Tamandua tetradactyla: one gene and its partners. The protein of the gene in region 1 interacts with the protein of each later gene in a pairwise test. Links are inferred from orthologs where the notes say so. Each region holds a gene or a part of one and is shown on either strand. Other genes may lie near its edges.

Region 1 (6,981 bases):
ATATCCCTAAATAGCGGCTAGAATTACAAGTTTTTAGTTATGCAGCTGGAGATGGTGGATTGCAGCTGAGCCCAGCGGCTGACTGTGGTGTTTAATGTTGCAATAATTGGTTTTGTATTTTATTCTGTAATCTTCAACCTACTGCTTTTTAAATTCTTCAAGCAGATGGATTTAAATAACATGCAAAAGAGGATGGGCCTCTGCCTGCTTGGGGAACTCCCCCCACCGCCATCCCACCCCGTAAAAAAAAGTGGGCTCACAAGCCTGGACTTGAGGCACAACTGCCCAGACCTCAAGGCAAATTTTGCTTGAAGCAGCTGCAACAGTTGCTAAAAAGTAGTACTTTTCAGGAGCTGACTGTCCCCACCCTGACCCCAGGGGGCTGGGGGGCTGGATTGAGGGTAGGGCAGCTGGTAAGGGTAGGGGCAAAGAACAGCTCCCGTTTCCAAGGGGCATGCAGCCGCCTCCTTTCTGCTACCCCCACCCCCACCCCAGCTGCCCCGTCCAGGCCTAGTCCCTCTCTGAGAGCTATCACAACCCCCTCCTCTGCCTGTCTCTCCAAGCCACTCCCACCTGAAGAGATCTTTCTAGAACCTGTCGGCTGGTCCGTGGGCCCCTCGGGGTGGAGACTGGATTGGCCTCTCTGCTCCCCAGTCCTGGCAGGGCCTGATCTGGGGTGCTGCCCGGGTCTGTGGGCCTCGGTGGAAAGAAGCCACCTGTGGTAGGCAGATAGATGGCCAGTGCCCATAGCACCCCAACGAGGGCTCACATCCCTGCGGCCAGTGGTGGCAGAGCATGAGCATGTGGCCCACTTCCGGCCAACGAGAGACAAGGGGAGGTCTTCTGGGAGCTTGGAGAAAATGAGACATAAGGGCAGATGCCCCTTTTCTTACTCAAGACATGCCTGGTCTGGAGTTGGAGCCCAGAGCAGTTGTAGCATCTTGGGGACCAGCTGAAAAGGGAGACATAAGGGGGAGAATGGCCAAGAGACTGAGCTGCATTCCTGAGAACACCCCCAGGGGGCGTCCTGCCGCCGGAGCCCTCGGGGGAGGGGGACGGTACAATTCCTCAGTGCCAGGAACCTCACCCCACAGTGAACTTGGAAGACCAGGTGCCAAGGCTGGGCTCTCATCCCCTTAGCACCACCAACCCCCAACAGCCTCCCTGGGCTAGGTTTTCCATCCGTCAGGTGGGGTGACAGGTTCTGGGCACAGCCCTAGAGAAAGGAAGGACAAAACCGTTTGCTAACAGAGACCTGTTGGTGTGAGATAACTGGAGGTGACAGTCCTGGGTTTGGCGGCTGTGAGGCTGAGTCATATAAACTCTGATCACTGGTTTCCTTGGCTGCGAAATGGGGAATAAGAATAGAGAGCGGCCTGCAGGCTTGGGTGAGGAGTGAATGAGGCAGGCCCTGTAAAAAGCTCATTGGTGCACTGCACACACCATCAGGGCTCCAAAGCAGTTGCTGCCTGTTCTGGTTGCCAGCTGCAAAAGGGCAGGGTGGAGGGACCTCTCTCTGCAGAGAACTTTAAAATCTTTCCACTTGTTCCTCCTATCACATCCTCCCCCAGTTGCTCCAGTCCACTGCCAGCAAGCACCCATCGGGGTGGAGCAGAGTCAAAGGGCTCCGGTGCATTGAGGGATGGGAGGGTTTGCCCAGGTAAGGAAGATTGAGGATGGCAGGCCAGAAGGGAGGGCACGATGGAGCAAAGTGTGCGGGTGGGAGAGCAAAGGGTGCCCTTGCGGAGAGAGAGGAGGCCTGAGGGGAGCTGGAGTTTGTGGGAGGCAGTAGGGGCAGGGGAAGGAGGCTGGCTGCAAAGTTTTCTGCCAATAAGAGAGTGGAGGGCTCTCTATGAACAGAGGGTTTCCGGACTACTTTTGGAATTAGAGGTATCATCCCATTTGATGGATGGGGAAACTGAGCCCAGGGAGACTGGGTCAGTGCTAAGAGGGCAATGGTGCATTGGGGCGAGACTCACAGCCTCTGCTGTAGCCTCTGGGGCTCAAGGTGAGGTTTACAATCTTAGCTGTCTCACTGCAAACAACAGAAAACCCCACTGGAGGGTCCTCAGTGCTGAAGCTGATCAGCAGCTCACCCGGCCAGGGGTGTGGAAGGAGGACGTGTCCCAGGTCGGCAGAGCAGCTCCAGCCCCACTGCCCGGCGACTCTTCCCCCCTGCCCGTGCCATGCGTTCTCTCTGGGACATACCCCTGCCCTCCAAAGCCCGGGCCTATGTACCTGGTACTTGGGAGCTTCGCCAAGTCCCCCAGAGCAGTTTCCTCTGTCTTATCATCTGCCTGAGGATTCGTGGAGAACCCCTGACCCATGCCCTCTGCCACTGCCGGGGCTCCGGCCTCCCTGCGGGCATCTCCTGCTGGGTGGGCGGGTGCCGGGTCCTTGGGGCTGAGCCTGGGCTCCAGACCAGGGCTCCTCCCAACACCATACCTGACTCTGCCCCCAGCACCTGCCCCACCATTCCAGAAAATTCCACAAATGCTCTCCAAACTCTGTCCTTTCCAAAGACTGGGGGTGACAGATGAGGAAACTGAGGCCGGGGAATCAGAGAGTGGATGAAGGTCCCTTAGCACTGAAGGGTAGAGCCCAGACAAAACAAACAGGACCGCCACCTGTTTTCAAACTCCCACCCCTGTGTCTTTCTAGTTCTCTCTCTCTGTCTCCTCTCTCTAGACTCCATCTTCAGAAGGGTCTCCATGCCAGGAGAGGGTCTAATCTGCAGACATGGGTGGGTGTGGGGGGGGGGTGGTGAGCAGTCTCATAAGGTCTCAGGCTAGACGCTGCTCACCCCATCTGCTCCCACGTCTGCCCCCCTCCCCGCCCCTCTGGCCCAGCTGGGTCTGTGTCTGGACTATGAGCTCCTTGAGGCCAGGGCTTGGCCGGAGCAGCAGGGTTTGATGACCGATGGCCGGCCTAGGCCCGGGGCGCCCTCCTGAGCGGTGCGCTGGCGACGGCTGGGGAGTCTAGCGTGGCAGGTGGCGGCGGGATGGGCGCGGGGTTGCAGAGCACCGCGCTTCCTGTGGGTGGGGGCCCGGGGGCCCGCCCGGGGGAGGTTGCACAAACCCTCCGGCGCGGCCTCAGCTGCCTGCCCGCCTGGCCCGCGCGCCGCCTCCCCCCGGGGGTGCGCCCGCTCCCCGCCCGGGTCTGCCCCGCGCTGGGTCGCCGCGGATCGCTCGGGGGCGGGGTGCGCCCCGGGACCGCCCTCCCCGCGATGGGCTCCTTCCTCATTTGGCTGCTGATCGTGGCCCGCAGCGAGCAGGTGGCGCCCCTTTCCTCCCTGCAGCACCTCGCCTCGGAGCCGCTGCAGAGCGCGCGGGCTGGGAGGGCTCCGGGGCCGGCACTGGGACAGGGGCGCGGGCACCCCCACCCCGCCGCCAGCCGGGATGACGCCCCAGCTGCAGTTCAGAGACGCCTTTTGGGTGAGTGAAGGCGCCGCGGGCGCGCGCAGGTGGAGACCGCCCGGGGCGCGGGGCGGGGGTCAGGGGGAGGACCCCAGCCCCACCCCCACCCCACCGAAATTTCCCGTGGATGTGGCTTCCGCCGCGGAGCTTTTTCTCATTAAAAAAAAAAAAGCAGGGGCCACCACTTTGTGGTTCTCGTTGTCGTGGCTGTGCCCCGGGTCACCGCCCCGTCTGTGAACGTGGAAGACCCTCTCCACGCCGGCAGGACCTTTTCTAGGAGAGTCTAATGCAGGGGTGCAGGGCTTGAGGGGCGAAGGGGGGATCACAGCTTTGGGGACCGGACAAAAACTTGGGGTCAGATTTTGTCTGTGCAAGACGTCTTTAGAGGTCCCAGAGCCCCGGCTTCCCTACCTGTGCAGAGGCCTGGGAGGAGGGAACGGGGCGATTCTGTGCAATGAAGGCCCAGCCCCCGCTGGCACAACAAGCGGTCCCCGCACGCAGAGCCTCTTCCCTTCGAGGCTTTCGGGCTCCGAGGAGCAGGGGGCTGGGCCCTTCATTGCTCACTTTCCTAAATTCAGCGCAGGCATCAAACAAGTCCTGGCGCCACGGGATTGCGGCACCTGGCCCGCTCCGGCAGGTGACACGGATCACCTGGCCAGCCGGCCCGGGCCGCCCCGCCCCCCGCCCCCCACCCGGCCCCTTCGCTGTTCTGCAGCCGCCGCTCACCCTTCCCCCGGGCCCTGCTGCTCCGCCGTCCTCGGAGGCTCCCGGGGCGGGGGAAGCTGGGGCCTCTGTGGTTTGAGCCGGGAATGTGACTGTCCCAGGAGAGCTCCAGCCCGCCCCTCACAGGGCTCGCTGGCCCTCCCCGGGCCCTTCCCTGGGGCCAGCTGCCAGGAGGGACGGAGCCAGCGGGCCTGGCTGCCTCCCCTTCCGGGCCACGCTGTGCTTAGCGCCCCAGGCTGAGTGAATAGCCTGCTGTCTGCCGGCGCTGGCCGCAGGGCGGGCAGAGGGCCCAGCCCGGGGAGGCCGCCCCGCCTCTCTCTGGACCTCCGTTTACCCATCTCTACAAAGAGGGGGTGGAGCCAGCTCAGAGAAGCTGGTGAAGGCAGCTCTGGCTTCCAAACCCCAGGGTGCTCCCTGCCCAGCTGGCAGCTAAGGGGTGGAGGGACAGGGGGTTCCGGGGACCAGGAAATGAGTCACCATATCGCTGCCCTGGCCCCAGAGTGCAAGGTTGGGGAGAAAAAGGGCCTGGAAATGCAGCAGACCCAGACTGTTCTCTCTAGGAAATCTATCCCAGCCCAGAGTCCCTGAGCCCACCTTCCCTGCGGCAGAACTGGGGCAAGGAGCTGCCCCCAGGGTAGGCTGTGAGCATGGGGAGGGGGGAAGGGGATGTCAGGGAGCAGGGTGTGGCAGCAGCAGCCCCAGCAGCAGCAAGAAATGGGCCCTGGAGGCAGCTTCCTGTGTGGCATCCTGCTTGAGCCCCCCCCTCCCCCGCCAGAGGCTGTGAGCCTCCAGGGGCCTCCTCTCCTCCATGCCGGACTCCCTGGGCCTGGGGTGAGGGTGCCGCCTCCCTAGGGAAGGCCAGAGCAGGGAGGGGGAAAAGAAGAGGCTGGGGGTGGGGGGGGGTACCTCCCATTCCAAGCCTGGGCGCAACCTCAGAAGTCACTGTCAGCACCACCTGCCCCCAAGTTCTGAATTCTAGCACCTCTCCATGATGTTAAGCCTGGCCTGGGATCTGGGATAACAGTAGCATTTCCTGAGCACTATTAATGTGTGAGCTGCTGTTCTCAGGGCTGTGTAGACTTTAACTCAGTCCTCCCAGCACCTGATGGAGTAGCTGCTATTGTTATCCTCATCACTCAGAGGAGGATGTTGAGGCTGAGAGAACCAAAGTCTCTTGTCCCACAGCTAGGATCGGACCCCGCCAGGCTGGCAGTGGTGCTGGGCTCTCAGCTCCCAGACTACCCTCCACCTGGAGATCCTTGGGCCTCAGCACCCACATCCACAAGATGGGGGATAGATTCTCTCTTTCCTTCCTCCCAGAGGGGTAGGAGGGCCCGTCTAGGTGCTTGGAGCATTTACATTTCAGTTGCAATGCAGTGTTTCTGTGGAGTGGGTTAGGGGCAGAGCCCAGCCTGCGGTGCCCCCCAGCCTGAGGCAATGCCATCTCATCCTGCAGCCCGGCAGAGCACTGCTTGACAATCACTAGGCTTTAAATAATGGAAGGAAACCCCTGAAGGAGCGTGTCTCATTCCACAGCACTTCATTTACCACGTGCTTCTGGCCCGAACACAGGGTGAAATTGGGCAAGGAGGAAAGCAAATGTGGTTTCTGAGTCGCCAAACCTGCTGTCCCTAACAGTTTGCATCACCGCTTACTCGTAGAAGCCCCCGGCTTTTGGTCGGGGCCTGTGAACTCTGATTTTCCTTGCAGTTCCAACAAGCTTGGTCGCATAGTCTTTAACCCGCTAAGGCAGCATTCAGGAGGGAGTCTGCACAATATCTGATATGTAGCTGGTGATCATAAATGTTGGGGGACCTGAGCTTCTAGAGGCAATTTCACTAATGACTTATAGTCTGATAGCCAGAAAGGAGATGGAAAAATTGTGAAAAGCAGACATAATGGTTCAGAAGTGGTGGGGCCGTTCAGTGTGGGGGTTCTGTCCCTTAGGAGGCCTGTATTGGAATTTTGTCCGTGCGGCCACACAGTGTTTATCTATAGCCAGCTTTTATCTGCAGCAGGTCAGCGTGGGAGTGAGGTGGAGTGGACTCGAAGCAGGGGGAGGAAAGGAATAATTTGATCTCTGTTATACACAGACAAGTGATAAAGAGTGTCACCGCCTTACAGGAAGTTTGTGGCAGAGCCTCGGAGTGGGGCCTGCCAGCAGGACAAGGATGAGGCTGAGAAGCTCGGGCATCTGAGTGGGAGGGTTTTAGACTAGCGCTTAGTCTAAGGGGCTCGGAAGTCTAGAGGAGACAGAGTCCCAGCAGGCAGCCAAGTGGGGCTGGAAGAAAAGTCTGTCTGCATGCAGAGTGTGTGCTCAGTAAGTGTTTGTGGAGAAGATGAATGAATAGTGGGGGGCCCCGTTTCATGGCCCACCCGCCCTCCTGATCCCATCTTCTCCTTCACTGCACATCAGCTGTGTTCTATACACATTTTTTGAGTTGGGTTCTCTAGCAGGTGGGCCAAGCCATACCCCTGAGCTCACCCCCACATCCAATCCACCAGGGGTTTTCGAGCTCTTTCCAAAGAAGGGCTCTGAACTGTGCCTGCCCCACAGTCTCCCACATCTTCTCAGACCCATATGTCCTTGGGAGAGATGGCATTAGATAATGGTGTTTTTAAAATATTTTTATTGCTAAAACAATGTATGATATATGTTATATTACACAATAAAAAAGTTAAAAACCCAACAACATTCAAACACATTCTTAGTTTACAAACATTTCACACATGGTGTACAATCAATGGCTTACGATATCATCACATACTTATGTATTCATCACCATGATCATTTTTTTGAGCATTTGCATCACTCCAGAAAAAGAAAGAAAAAACTCATACA
Region 2 (6,981 bases), on another chromosome or scaffold:
TTCAATCGCTAAGAGATTTCAGATTGAGCCGGGAGGTGCTGGGGGTCAGTCTCAAACAGGCTGCAGCCAGATTCTGCCCAGTGTTCCCCAAAACCCTATGGAGCACCCCAGTCCTATCTGAAATCTCTGTAGTTATTTCCCCAACGTGAGATAGGTGCAAACCATCTGATCACAATCCTTCTACTCCTTTTATTTAAACCTTTACTTTTTACTTATCAAGTTTACTTTCCTGTGACTTAAAGCCTCTGCATTGTTCCTATACTAGTTAAGTCCTGGAACCCAGTGGCACCAGTCTCTCCAGAACAACCAGTCTCACCCCCCTACCCCATAACACAGGTGCCCCTTTCCAGCATCAAGAAGTTAGAATTGATTTGGTACAAAATTCATATTTTGACTAGTGCATCTCCTAATGTAACTTATGTTGATAGCTTGATTGAACACCATAAGTACTTGGAATCTTGGGTAGGACATGAGATTTTGTCGGTTTGTCCAGGTGATGCCCCAATAAATCCCAGAGTGATTCGATCAGTGAGTGGAAAAATATTTGCAAAGAATGGTGAGAATGGGGGAAAATTCAACTTCCCAAGTTGAATTCTTGATATCTCACAAGCAGTGTAGACAACCAAAGCTATAAACTGAGCCCCGAGTCTTGGGGGTTGTTCATATGAAAATTACCCCACAAAGGACACTAAGCCTACTTAAAATTAGGCCTAAGAGTCACCCCCAAGAGAGCCTCTTTTGTTGCTCACACGTGGCCTCTCTCTCCAGCCAACACAACAAGCAAGCTCACCACCCTCCCCCTCTCTACGTGGGACATGACTCCCAGGGGTGTGTACCTTCCTGGCAACGTGGAACAGAAATCCTAGAATGAGCTGAGACTCAGCATCAAGGGATTGAGAAAACCTTTTCTACCAAAAGGGGAAAGAGAGAAATGAGACAAAATAAAGTGTCAGTGGCTGAGAGATTCCAAACAGAGTTGAGAGGTTATCCTGGAGGTTATTCTTACGCATTAAGTAGATATCACCTTGTTATTCAAGATGTAATGGAGAGGCTGGAGGGAACTGCCTGAAAACGTACAGCTGTTTGTCCCAGTACCCATGTTTCTTGAGGATGATTGAATAATGATATAGCTTTCACAATGTGACTGTGTGATTGTGAAAACCTTGTGTCTGATGCTCCTTTCATCTACCCTGTCAACAGACGAGTAGAACATATGGAATATAAACAAATAATAGGGGGAACAAATGTTAAAATAAAAAAATTAAAAAATATTAAAAATAAATTAAAAAAACAGAAAAAAAAAAAAGTTAGAATCGTCTTTGTCCAGCTATCCCGCAAGACTGAGGAAATGGAGAAGCAAGAGGAAGGAGATACAACCTAGAATTTAAAAATGAGTAAATGATTCCTGAATCATTATATTGATGCTTTTTTCCTTCTATGGTGTAGAATGACCAAAAGTTAATACCTGAAATTGCTGGAAGTGACTGAACTCGTTCCAGCCTTTGTGTGCCCTTACTATTGTGATTGTTTTGGCCTTGACCCAGCCATTGTTCATACTCGCTGCTGTGAAGATAACTGTTCTGTACCCCAGAAAAGACACACACTGCTTTAATGCATTCTTGTGGAGCAGACCTACAGTGGTGTGACCTTTCGGTCACGCTACTTTAATTCAGACGTGGCCCAAGCCCATTTCCGAAGGGTCTCCATCCTTTACTGGAGTCCTTTAAGAGCGCTCAGGGGGGCGATTTCAGAAAGAACCCCCCCCCCCAGGAGAAACTAAGAGAGAAACGCCCAGAGACATTTTGGAGATGGACCAGCAGACTGATCACGTGCCTTCCCACATGAAAGAAGAATTCCCCACGCCAGCAGCCTTTTCTCGGAGAAGGGATCTTTCTCTTTCTCTCTTTTTTTTAATGGGCAGGCACCGGGAATCGAACCCGGATCCTCTGGCATGACAGGCGAGCAGTCTGCCTGCTGAGCCACGGTGGCCCTGGGGATCTTTCTCTTGAAGCCATTTTCACGGCCTTAGAACCATAAATTTGTAACCTAATAAATCCCGTCGCAAAAGCCAACCCATTTCTGGTATATCGCATTTCAGCAGCTTTAGCAAACCGAAACACACTCCATCTTTCATTATTTGAATCCATAAAATATCCAACTCCTTAGACCCGGGGAGATAGACTTCCTGATCTACTTCACGCTTAGCAACACATTCTCTCTTTCACGGTGAAGGAGTTGGCCATTGGGTGCATCGGGCAGAGACCCCCCTGCTTTTCTTTAGTAACAGGTGCTGCGGGTTGAGCTGTGGCCCCAAGATGCACCTACCTCCTGGCTCGGGTACCTGCGCGTGTGCCTGATTTAGGAATGGGGCCTTTGCAGATGTCACTAAGCTAAGGGTTGCCAGGAGTCACCCTGGATTAGCGTGCGCCCTAAACCCCAGGACAGTTGTCCTTACAAGAGAGGAAAGGGAGAAGGCCACGTGAAGTGGGGCAGCCAGGACATGGGGGATGGCCGGCGGCCCCCGGGGGCTGGGAGAGGGGCGTGGAGCAGGCCTGCTCCCTCCCGCCTCCGGGCTCCCCAGCTGTGAGACCAACTGCGATGAAAGTCCCCAAGTGTGCGGGAATCCGTCCTGCAGCCCTGGGCCTGAATCCACCCGCCTGCTCCCCGGGCTCCCCGGGCTCCCGGGACTGGTTCCTAGGAGGGGGGGTTGCCAGGTTTGAGCATTTCCGCGTCTCCACGAGCAGGGGCGGAGCAGGTGCTCGGGGGTGACGGGTTGCACGCCCACGGGCAGAGCGCTTTCCCGGCCCGGCAATCCGTCCTCCCCGCGCCCCGTAGAGTGGCTACTATTATCCCTATCTCACAGGCGGTACACTGAGGCTCGGAGGGGCGCCGTCGGGATTCCAACCAGCGCAAGGCCCTCATTAAGTAACAACCACAATGGGGGCCATCAGGCCCGCTCCTGTCCCCCCCGGGCCGGGGCCGCAGCCGCCCAGCCGCCCGCCGCCGGCAGTGACAACCGCTGCCCACCACGTGGAGCTCGGGAGCCCGCGTGAGCGTCGCACGGCGCATGCGTCACTAACCACAAGGCCTCCTGCGCCGCCGCGCGCTGCCCCGCCCCCCTTTGCAGCCCTCGCCGCCGCGCTTTTCGGCCGCAGCCTTTTCTCCTCAGACGGGAAGTCGCCCCCGCCCCGCCCTCGTGCCCAGAAGCCGCCGCTCTGCCCGAGGATTGGTTACCCGGGCCCAGGGCCCTGTGTTGATTGGCTCGCGCCGCCGCCACTCCTCTTCGGCCTGGTGGCGCGCGGCGGAACGGCAGCCGGCGGGAGCGCGAGCGGCGACGGAAGTGGCTGGCTGGCCGGGTCCCCGCTGGCACCATGGTGAGGGCAGGCCGGCGGCGGGGCCTCGCCGGGAAGTGGGGTCGCGACGACCGGGGCCGCGGGGATCCGGGGGCGCGCATGCCTCGGGGCCCGAGCCCCGCCCCCGGCGCAGGCGGGGAAACTGAGGCCGGCCGCGCGCCGGGAGCGCGGGCCGGGCAGAGCACCCCCGCTCAGCCGTGCGGCGCATTCCAGGCTCCGCCGCGGCCCGTCCCGCACCGTCCTGGGCCGGGGAACAGGGCCCGAGGCCAGGCTTCCGCTCCGCCTGTCCCGGCGCACCGGGGAAGAAGGGAGGCCGCGCAGGGCTCGTGGCGCGCTCTCCGTCCGGCCCGAGGTCCGGTGTACAACCAGCGCCGCGCTGGGGAGACCTGCGCCGCATCCCGCTGGCCGGCAGGACCCGGAGGAGGGGTCCGCGAGGCCTCAGCCCCGTGGGGCCGCCCTTCGTTCCCATCTGTAGTGTCTCCTTGGAGCCTGTGCGAAGCGTGGGTGTTCAGGGCTATCTCCTGGAAATGGGCCGCCGGGGTCCTCGACTCCTGGCCCTACGGGAGGTTCCGTGCTCCCAGAGCAGACCCATAGAGACGCTCCCCTCATACGGGGCTGGGCCCCGGGGGAGCCCGAGAAGGGAATCACGGCCCCCTGTGGGGGTCCCGGAAGGCTTCCTGGGTGAGAGGCCACTCGGACCAGCCCTCCGTGGCTTTATGCCTGAGGTCTGCATGGCAGTCATAACGGGAGGGCCAGAGTGGCCCTTTCTCCTCCTGGTGGCATCTGGTGCATCTTCCTCTCCCTGGGGTGTCACGCCCCTGAGGACCAGTCTCTCACCCCTGCCTTCTCTCCAGCAGTTTGGGGCTGAGAATGTGGAAGGCTGGCAGAGGGCTCTGTCGTGGCCTGGACCGGCTTTGACCGGGGCACCTCCCAGTCCTGACGCCGCCTCATCTGTGAGGCAGGGACAGGCCCTGGGTATGGACCAAGTCCACACTCCCTTAAAATTTTCCAGGCCAGCAGGGGACTCGCCAGGGAGTTATAATAAATAAACAGAAGAAGAGACTGGCTGAGTCCTGTCCTGGAAACAGGCCCGGGGCAGGGGCGGTATCAGGACGCCCAGGGAGGTATGGGGGCAAAGGTCGCCAGGCAGAGTGGGCATGGTGTGCAGACAGGAGCAGGTCAGGGCAAGTGTTTTCTGCTAGATGAGCAGAAGCCTCTGGGGGGGCCGTGGCAGATGTCTCAGGCACTGCTTTGTGGGGAGGGGCTGCAGGGTCCTCCAGGGCCGTCCTGACCCTGGGTGCAGAGGTTGTGTCCACCGTATGAGGATGTCCATGGTCACCGTCGGGTGCTCCCAGGGTCACATGCAAACCGGGGTCTGCACCGGACACCCAGGCCTTTCCCCAGACTGGGTCCAACAGGCTTGAGCAAGCCCCCGCTTCAGGAGGTCATGACCCACCTGTTGTACAGCCCACACAAACCAGCCTGAGGCCCCTTTTCCCTCGGGGACTCCCCCAAGCCACCCAGAGGCGTTCTGGGCGTGGCCCCACACCATGCAGCCGTCCTTTCCCCTTATCTTGCCCTTCCAGGAAACCGGGTGAGGAAGTGGACGTGGGCCTGGCTTCCTGCTAGCACCAGGCCTTCCCTGGTGGTTCCTTGGGATAGCCGGGCAGTCCCACGTCTCCCCTCAGTAGAGGCCTGCGTGTCCCCCCACCTGGAAAAACAGGGTCCTGTGGACCCCAGAGTGTCCCTGGAGGGAGCTTCTCAGGAGGGGAGGCTAAGTCGGGTCACAGGGAAGTCTCCAGCCTCCCTGGGAGACAGTTCTCGTTTTCCTTGTGCACCAGCCGCCACACAGAGCCACAGTCTGCCCTCCGTGGTTGTTGTCTCGACAATGAAAAGAGCTGGCTTTAATTTTTTTCCCATCGTAAAAATCATATATGTAACTGTAAAAAAGATCTCTAATGATGGTAAAAGAAATTGAGTATCTTGAGTACTTAGTGGATCTGGATATGTCTCTAGAGAGCTCATCCTTTCTTTGTGGTGAATTTGCAATACCCACAGGCTTTTCTGGAATGTTCCCTCTCACCTGGTGAGTTCTCCTCTTTGCAAACCCAGCTCAGGTGTCACCAGCGGGGCCCGGCAGGGTTTTGGTCCAGTCCCGGCTGTCCTTTGGCGTGGCGTTTGGTGGCACTGGCTTCAGGCATGGGGTCAGCCGCAGCTTTGCTGCTCCCTGGCTCTAGCCCTGGGCCAGCTCCTGGGTCTTGTCCCCATGAGGCAGGTGCAGCGGGAGCTGCCGGGGTGTTGAGCAGATGGTGGCTCTGTGGGACGGACTGGCTCCTGGGGACCCCGTGGAACGCAGGTGGGGTGGGGATGAGGGTGGCGTAGGATCTGCCCCAGGTGCAGCCCCAGCAGCCCAAATCACGGCTTCTGCTTGCCTTTCAGCTCCCCCTGTCGCTGCTGAAGACGGCGCAGAACCACCCCATGGTGAGTGCGTGTTTGGGGGTTGGAGGTGACGCAGGCTCTGTGCGGGCCTGGATATGTGTGGACACAGGGGCCGCGGTTCTGCCGTGTCCAGATGGGCTCGTGGGGGGCATGTCGCCCAAGATGGCTTCTGTCCTCAGTGCTCGGTGGGGCACCTGTCCACGTCACACGACCTTTCCACTTGTGGGGTTCTCGTTGGTGTTTCATTCACAGTCCGTAAAGTCACAGCTGTTGAGGGGACGTTTCACTGTGAGCCGCTCGGGCCCCCTGCGTCTCCGTCTCCTTGGGTGACCAGTTCAGTGTAGTCCGCTCTTAGGGACCACAGCCTGTGGGGTGCAGACGCATGGGTTTCCCTGAACGGCTGTTTTCTGTTGCCGTGCGTACAGCCCTGCACTTCCCTTAAACCGTGCTCGCGTCCACGTCTCAGCGCTGTCAATTGCATTTGCGGTTGTGCTGCTGTCCCTTCCCTCCCCCACCAGAACGCACCCATTGCTCCAAGTAGGAGCCCTATACTAAGCTTTAAGCCTTGGCTCCCGCTCCCTGCGCCCGGTTGTCCCCTCGCAGCCTCTATTCCTGATCTGAGCCTCTGAGTTTACTTCTAATTCTTCCGTGTAAGTGAGGTCATACAGCACTTGCCCTTATGTGTCTGGCTGCTTTCAGGCTGCCCAGTGCCCCCCAGGCTCTTCCGTATTGTCGCGTGCTCCAGGACGTCCTTTTCTGGGCTTAGCGGCACGCCCATTGTGCTACCACATTGTGCTTGCCTGCTCCTGGTGTGGGCACTTGGGTTGCGTCCGCCTTTTGGCAGTTATGCACGGTGCTGCTGTGGACGCCATTGTGGGATGTCTGTTCACGTCCCAGCTTTCAGTTCGGGGCGCATTCTGAGGTGCAGGATTGACGGGTCGCCTGTCCCCTCTTGCCTGCTGGCTTCCTTTCTCCCCCCAGCCAACCCTACTGGCACCAGCTACCTGCCAGCCCTCAGCTCCCCCTGTGAGATGGGAACTTGCTGTCCTGTCTTCCCCTCCTGCGGCCCCTGTCCCTGCCCTTGTCCACCCCGTGCCCTCTGTGCTGCAGTGTCCCTTTTGTTGGTTGGCCATCTTAAGTAGATTTTTTTATACGGAACAGCTTGATGGCACTTGAGTCCACGTTCAGT
Region 3 (6,981 bases), on another chromosome or scaffold:
ATCTTTCCTTCTGGTTTCATACATGCCCCCAGCCCTTCTCCCTCAATCATACTCACATTCAGCTTCACTCAGTACACTTATGTTATTGTTCTACAGTCAGGTAGTATTGTGCTATCTGTTTCTGAAATTTTGCAATCAGTCCTGCTGTATAATCTGTGCTCCTTCACCACCAAATGTCCAATCTCTGTTCAATGTCTATCTCCTGATAACCAGTGTTCTTAACTTCAACTCTCAAAGTTCTCTCATTAATCTTAGTTCATAATAGTGAGACCATAGAGTATCTGTCGTTTTGTATCTGGCTAATTTCACTCGGCATAAGATCTACAAAGTTTATCCATGTTGTTACATGTTTCATGACTTTATTGTGCTTTACAGCTGCATAATATTCCATTGTATGTATATACCACAGCTTGTTTAGCCACCCATCCACTGATGGACATTTGGGCCATTTCCATCTCTTGGCACATTCATCAATTTTTGTCTTTATGGTTTGTACTTTTACAGCAGCTTTGCTTAATAAATTCAAACCAATCTTAAGGTCATAAAGTTATATTTGCCTTGATTAATTTTTTTTGTAATTCAAATATTTCAAATTCAGCTCTTAGATCCATATGAAGTTTACTTTTATATGACATGCAATAGGGATTTTTTTCTTATGTAAGCTTTTCCAATAACCTTTGCTAGGTAATCAGTTTTCTCACCAGTGATTTTGACACATCTTCTATGAAGACCAAGTTCTTTTATATAAACAGACTTGACTCTTTATTCTATTCTATATGGTGGTACAACTAGTCTGTTCCTGAATCATTCAAATAGATTTATTTACCTCATATTTGTAATGTGTTCTTATATCTATAGGGTAAGGCATTCCCACTGCTTTATAAAAATTGTCTTAGCTCTTCATGAAATTTTTCTTCTATGTCAATATTAAAAATTGCATTGAATTTATACATTATTTTGGGAAGAATAGATAGGTGTCATGTTAAGTTACTCTGTCAAGAAACCTCTATCTTTCTCAATTTATTCAGTTATTTAATTATTTCATTTAATAATGTATTGACTTCATTTTTTTTCCATAAAGTATTTCTGCATTCTTTGTTAGACTAATTCCTAGAAATATTAGGTTTTGTTACTATTTTAAAATTTCATTTCTAGTTGGGTGATGTTGGGGGAAAAGAAACGATGATCTTAATCCTTTTTTCCATCTCATTTTTTTCTATCTTCTTATTCTATTCTTCCGACTCTTCTTTCTTTCAGCAGTATTTACCCATTAAACCTTCCAGTGACTTTCACGGGTATGATTTTGCTTCTAGTGGTTCCAAGTTATAAAGAGGGCCCAAATATTCTTTTTAAGGATTTTTATTATTTAAATGTCTATTTACATGAAGTTCTCACAACTAGTAAATACTTGTTGCAACACAAACCAGTCAAAATTGCATGAATCAGGGTAAAAAAGATGCCTAAAGAAATCAGAATTTGTTCCATCCACTTCACAATTGCAAGTGCAGTTCCATTTTACTACATCATCTAGTCTGTTTTATTTAGTTTTATGAGAGCACATGCAGAAGTGTATTACACACTAGCCATAAATGCACACTATAGTCCAGTTAGCAAAATCTCTACTACCTATAATCTTCCATTCAATTGCCACTTGTAAATGAGACATTGTAATTTGTCACACAGATGAGTCATATATAACTTGTAAGAAACATTCCATCTTTTAGATATCTGCGTTAGGTCACAAAGTATTAAGGATATTTTATATTCACTCTTCAGAATGAATAGGAAAGTCAGCCTAAGTCATCTTAACAGTTTGGATTTTCAGTTCAATTTTTAAAGAAGTCTTCATCTTGTATTCTTCTAATGAAGGTTATTCATTAGAATGAAATCATGAACTACATTCAGGTTACTTAGTAATAAACAATATAAAATAATAGTAATTTTAAGTTACTAAACATCGTACATTTAAATGAAACAAAATAGCATATAAAGGCCCACAGCATTATAAGACTCCTCCCCTACAACAATAACAACAATAGCAAAAATATGTAAAGAAAAAAATTACATGCTTAACAAATCAATAATTTCCAATTTTATTTCGTTATGAAGTCAGCTCTTACCCATGTATAACAACAAAATGTTCTCCAGTATGGAATATGCAAAGGTAGCATCTCTTTTTTAAATACTTTTTATGGTAAAAACTTCCAGATAACGAATAATGGATAGTATTTTGGAATTTTGCTTTATCTGTGTTTTTTTCTTTATCAATTACACATACTGACATTCATTCTTAAATACTTCAGTATGCATATCCAGTTACTAAGAACATAATCTGACCTAATAACCATATAATTACACAACAAAAATAACAATAGCCCCTTAATACAACCTTTTGAAGCAAGTTAATACAACAACAAAATGCTGATTCATATTTCCATTTCCTCATAGCCACTGATATTTTAAAAATAAATGTAAGGAGAGCAAGAAATGATGACAAATGCAATTATAATACAACCTAAAATCCATTACAGATCAACAAAAAATATCAACAGTTTGCATGCCAAGAAAATTCAAGGATAAAAGTAATTTAAATTTTTGTTTTACTGAATGTTGAATCCAAAACTATTCCGGATGTAGGCGGTTTCCCCCGTATTTTTAACAGGGTCTTGGACTGAGACGTTGGGGATAATTGGCTTCAGAAATTTGAACTCTTCACTTACAGAGTCTCCCATGACGCATACCTCGTACTGGTAGCTCTGCGACAGGGTCCCGGTGCCGCTCACGTCCACCAAGTGCCCGGGAAAGTGGCCCTCGGGCCCCGACGCCGCCCTGGGCCTCGCGCACAGCCGCAGCGCCACGAACAGCAGCACCGAGAGCAGGAAGAGCGACGAGACCGCGGCCAGCGCCACCACCAAGGACACGGTGAGCGAGTCGGCCTGGGCGCGGGCCCGGGCCGCCTCCGGGAGCGGCAGGTAGGGCTGGGAGAAGCCGTCCACCAGCAGCACGTGCAGCGTGGCGGTGGCCGAGCGCGGCGGCTCGCCGTTGTCCCTGACCAGCACGACGAGCCTGTGCCTGGGCGCGTCGCGCTCGCTCAGCAGCCTGGCGGTGCGCACCTCGCCGTTGTGCGCCCACACGCCGAACAGCCCGGGCTCCGTGGCCTTGAGCAGCTGGTAGGACAGCCAGGCGTTCTGGCCCGAGTCGCCGTCCACCGCCACCACCTTGGTCACCAGGTAGCCCGCCTCGGCCGCCCTGGGCACCAGCTCGGTGCAGGGCGCCGAGCCGTTGTGGCGCGGGTAGAGCACCGACGGCGCGTTGTCGTTGTCGTCCAGCACCAGCACGCGCACCAGCGCCTCGCTGCTCAGCGCCGGGGAGCCCGCGTCGGCCGCGCGCACGCGGAACTCGAAGGCCTGCAGGGCCTCGTGGTCCAGGGCCCTGAGCGCGAACAGCTGGCCGTGGTCGGCGCTGACGGAGACGAGGGAGGCCAGGGGCAGCCGCGCGTCCTGGGGCGGCAGCAGCGAGTAGGTGACTTGGGCGTTGGGGCCCGAGTCCCTGTCGGTGGCGCTGACGCTGCCGATGTGCAGGGCGGGGCTGTTGTTCTCGCGGACGTACAGGGTGTAGGAGGTCTGGGTGAAGGTGGGCGCGTTGTCGTTGACGTCGGAGACGCGCACGGTTATGCTGTGCTGGGTTTTCAGCCTGGGGGTCCCCAGGTCGGTGACAGTGATGGTGACGTTGTATTCAGCTGTCGACTCTCTATCCAGTGCTTTTTCAGTAACCAAAGTGAAAAAATTTTTGAAGGTTGGTTTCAGGAAAAAGGGGAGGTCGTCCTGAATAGAGCAAACCGTTCTCCCATTGTCTCCAGAGTCTTGATCACGGACGCTAAAAACAGCGACGAGGGTCTCTGGAGCGTTCTCTGGAATACTGTTTGTAACTGACGACATGGTTACTTCCGGTGGATTGTCATTTATATCTATTACTTTAACCAGAAGGGTGCATTTTTCTGAAAGACCTCCACCATCTGTTGCCTGGATATTTATAGTGTAGGTTTGTATTACTTCAAAATCCAGGTGTGATTTCAAATTAATTTCCCCAGATATTGAATTGATTTCGAATGTTTTGCGAATGTCTTCCGATGCGTGAAAAAATGTGTAAGATATTTTCCCATAATTCCCTGCATCCAGGTCGGTAGCAGAGATGGTGGTAACTCGTGAGCCGGGCGGTGTGTCCTCCGGGACTTGCACCTCATACAGACTCTGAGCAAACTCAGGGGCATTGTCGTTGATGTCCAAGACCTTGATGAGAACCAAGGTTGTCCCAGATCTGGGCGGGGACCCGCCATCCAGCGCTATGAGTGTTAATCTGAACTCAGGCTCCTCCTCGTGATCTAACGCTTTGTCCAGGACCAGCTCTGGGTATATCTTCCCATCACTGCTCTCTCGAATTTTAATGTAGAAATGAGAATTAGAGCTAATTGTGTAGTTTTGGAGACTGTTGCTTCCTACGTCCAAATCTTGAGCACTTTCCATTAGGAATGTGGTTCCAATAGTGGTACTTTCTGATATTTTCAAAAGTATTTCTTTGTCCAGAAATGTAGGGGAATGATCATTTATATCTTTGATGTGCAGCTCAGCCCGGAAAAACTGTAAAGGGTTTTTCATTAACACCTGAAAATGCACAACACAGGGCTCAAAAGAGCCACATAGCTCTTCTCGGTCCAGTTTCTCATTTAAGAGCAAATCCCCAGTCAGCAAATCAAGGTGCAAATGCTTTTTATTATCATCAGACACTACCCGGGCTTCCCGTGAGGACAGCTGGTCTGCTTTCAGCCCCAGGTCCCTTGCCAGATTGGCCACAAAAGAACCAATTTCTGTTTCCTCTGCCACAAAATAACGCCCAGATTCAGGACCTGCCCGAGACAATCCCAACAAAACAAAGAGAATAAGGACTTGCCTTTTCCGCAGAGCCAGCACCCCTCTGGTTTCCATGGTTCCTGCAGGCAACCTCTTGAGTGGGAAAAAAAGACAAAAACAAACACAAAAAAAAACCCTGGAAGGTATATAACCCTCCAGCAGCTCTGTAGGTGAAACTCCACTGATACTCTGTTTTCAGTGGACCCAATGCTCTCTGTTCTCTGTTGAACTTAACATTGAACCCACAGTATCTGCCATGCTTTGTTTTTCATCTTATCCTGCAGCGCCACCATGTGTCTCTACGAATTTTTTTCATTATCAGTTTTTTCTCTTTGAGCAAGTAATTCATAAATACATCTGGCATATTTTAAAACAAATCCTAGACATCATATATTTTACCTCTAAATGTTTCAGTATTCTCTAATAGAAAAGGATTTTTAAAATAGAATCAAGTATCTCTATTTCAACCAACAAATTTAGCAATTACTCCTTAATATACTTAGAATGTTTGATTTTCTCCATTTTCCTCAAAAATGTCTTTCTACTGTTGGTTCGATTGAATGTGATTCCAAACAAGGACAATACACTGCATTTGATTATTGCTTTTTTGAATGCCTGGCAATAAGGATCCATTAAAATGCCCTGGCTAATGGAATGTTTTATTCAGGCCATTTATTGAGTAATCACAAATATTCTCCTATAAATGCTTGTTGAGTTCAGTCATATACAGTTAGTAATGTCATTACTTTTTCATTTTTATGTTTTAAAAACATGTGTAGGTTAAAAATTCAAACATCAGAAAATGGTACACAGTTAAGAAAAAGTCTCTTTCCCTAGGTTGATCCTCAATCTGCTTTCTAAGAGGAAATGCCATGCTCTTTATATTTGTCTATAAAGACCATCTGTGAATCTACCAACTTAAATGTAAGTAAAATCATTTTTCACATTATATCACAATAATACATTAATTTGTGGTATATGTTAAGAGCTATAAAACATGTTCCATGTTCTTCAAAAGCTTATAACATTTTTAAATGAAAACATGGAACAAGTAACAAATAACTGGTAATCTAGACCAGGACTTGTTTCATGGGAAGTGAGTACTTAGGGAAAATGGAGGTGTGCACCCAAGAATACCTATAGTGTATTCCTCTAACTCCTGACAGGTGTTTGTATAGCAAGTGAAATTGAGACTGGCCTTACACAGAGTATATGTGTATTGTTGTTGAAGGGATTGAGAATATTTCCTATGGGAAGCAGAGCATTATATCATTGAAGATATGCAGAGGAGATCCCCTGAGAGCAGGAGAGAGATAAGCAAGACCTAAATATTACCATAATAAGAAATATTATCACAAGAGTATTTAGTTTCCATTTCTGAAAATCTGTGAAATGATTACTTATACATTGTAATTTATTTAGTTGCTAAATTAAGTTGAGCCAAATTTCAGAATAGAATTTGTCCTTGCATAATACCAAAGGCATAATTTTAAATACATTTACTTATATTTCCAATCATCAGATATTCAAATACTTTCTAAGTTTCAAGTCACAAAAATAGCTGTAAGGATATGACATGAAAAAATATAATCCTTGTCTTTATAGGTCTCACAAACTAGAAAAAGTTGACAGGTCAGTAGTTAAGATATGTTATAAATGCATGCATGGGTAAAGAGTAATAGAGAAATACATAGAAAAGATATCTTGCATCTTGGTGGCTGCATCATTATTATAAGGAGCATAGATTCGGAAACTATGCTGTTTTGAAACTGCCATGTATCCCAGAAAAACCACATTCTTCTAATCCAGTCTTGTGGGGGAAGAATCACCACGGGCGATAATAATCTTGATTAGATTATTTCCATGGAGGCGTGGCCCCACCCATTCAAGGTGGGTTTTAACCAGTTTACTGGAATCCTTAAAAGAGTGGACACAGAGAGCTCAGAGCTGGAGATGCTTGGAGGGCCGACACAGAGCAGAGAGATGAAACCAGACACAGATGTTTGGAGAGGCTGAGCAGAGAAATGAAATCCAGAGTTTGCCCCAGAAATGTTAAGAAAGGTTCCACAGATGT

What was found.
Region 2: the proteins of PSTPIP1 (region 1) and LSM4 interact in binary tests that used the Homo sapiens proteins (3 or more experiments, as listed by UniProt). The two-hybrid records come from large-scale screens. The link is inferred for Tamandua tetradactyla from reciprocal best matches to the Homo sapiens genes PSTPIP1 and LSM4.
Region 3: the proteins of PSTPIP1 (region 1) and PCDHB14 interact in binary tests that used the Homo sapiens proteins (3 or more experiments, as listed by UniProt). The two-hybrid records come from large-scale screens. The link is inferred for Tamandua tetradactyla from reciprocal best matches to the Homo sapiens genes PSTPIP1 and PCDHB14.

Annotation. Positions count from the first base shown.
Region 1 is NC_135340.1:89,855,000-89,861,980, reverse strand, and holds the start of PSTPIP1 (proline-serine-threonine phosphatase-interacting protein 1), read left to right. Parts: upstream 1-3,241; 5' UTR 3,242-3,398; coding exon 3,399-3,434; intron 3,435-3,827; coding exon of another isoform or gene 3,828-3,984; intron 3,985-4,142; coding exon of another isoform or gene 4,143-4,477; exon of another isoform or gene 4,478-4,510; intron 4,511-6,981. Other genes in the region: uncharacterized protein LOC143656381, read right to left, coding at 574-716, 894-952, 3,828-3,984, 4,143-4,477. UniProt on the Homo sapiens protein: Involved in regulation of the actin cytoskeleton. May regulate WAS actin-bundling activity. Bridges the interaction between ABL1 and PTPN18 leading to ABL1 dephosphorylation.
Region 2 is NC_135337.1:96,201,125-96,208,105, forward strand, and holds the start of LSM4 (U6 snRNA-associated Sm-like protein LSm4), read left to right. Parts: upstream 1-3,260; 5' UTR 3,261-3,371; coding exon 3,372-3,374; intron 3,375-5,792; coding exon 5,793-5,834; intron 5,835-6,981. UniProt on the Homo sapiens protein: Plays a role in pre-mRNA splicing as component of the U4/U6-U5 tri-snRNP complex that is involved in spliceosome assembly, and as component of the precatalytic spliceosome (spliceosome B complex).
Region 3 is NC_135346.1:21,271,442-21,278,422, reverse strand, and holds PCDHB14 (protocadherin beta-14), read right to left. Parts: upstream 5,193-6,981; 5' UTR 4,983-5,192; coding exon 2,601-4,982; 3' UTR 81-2,600; downstream 1-80. UniProt on the Homo sapiens protein: Potential calcium-dependent cell-adhesion protein. May be involved in the establishment and maintenance of specific neuronal connections in the brain.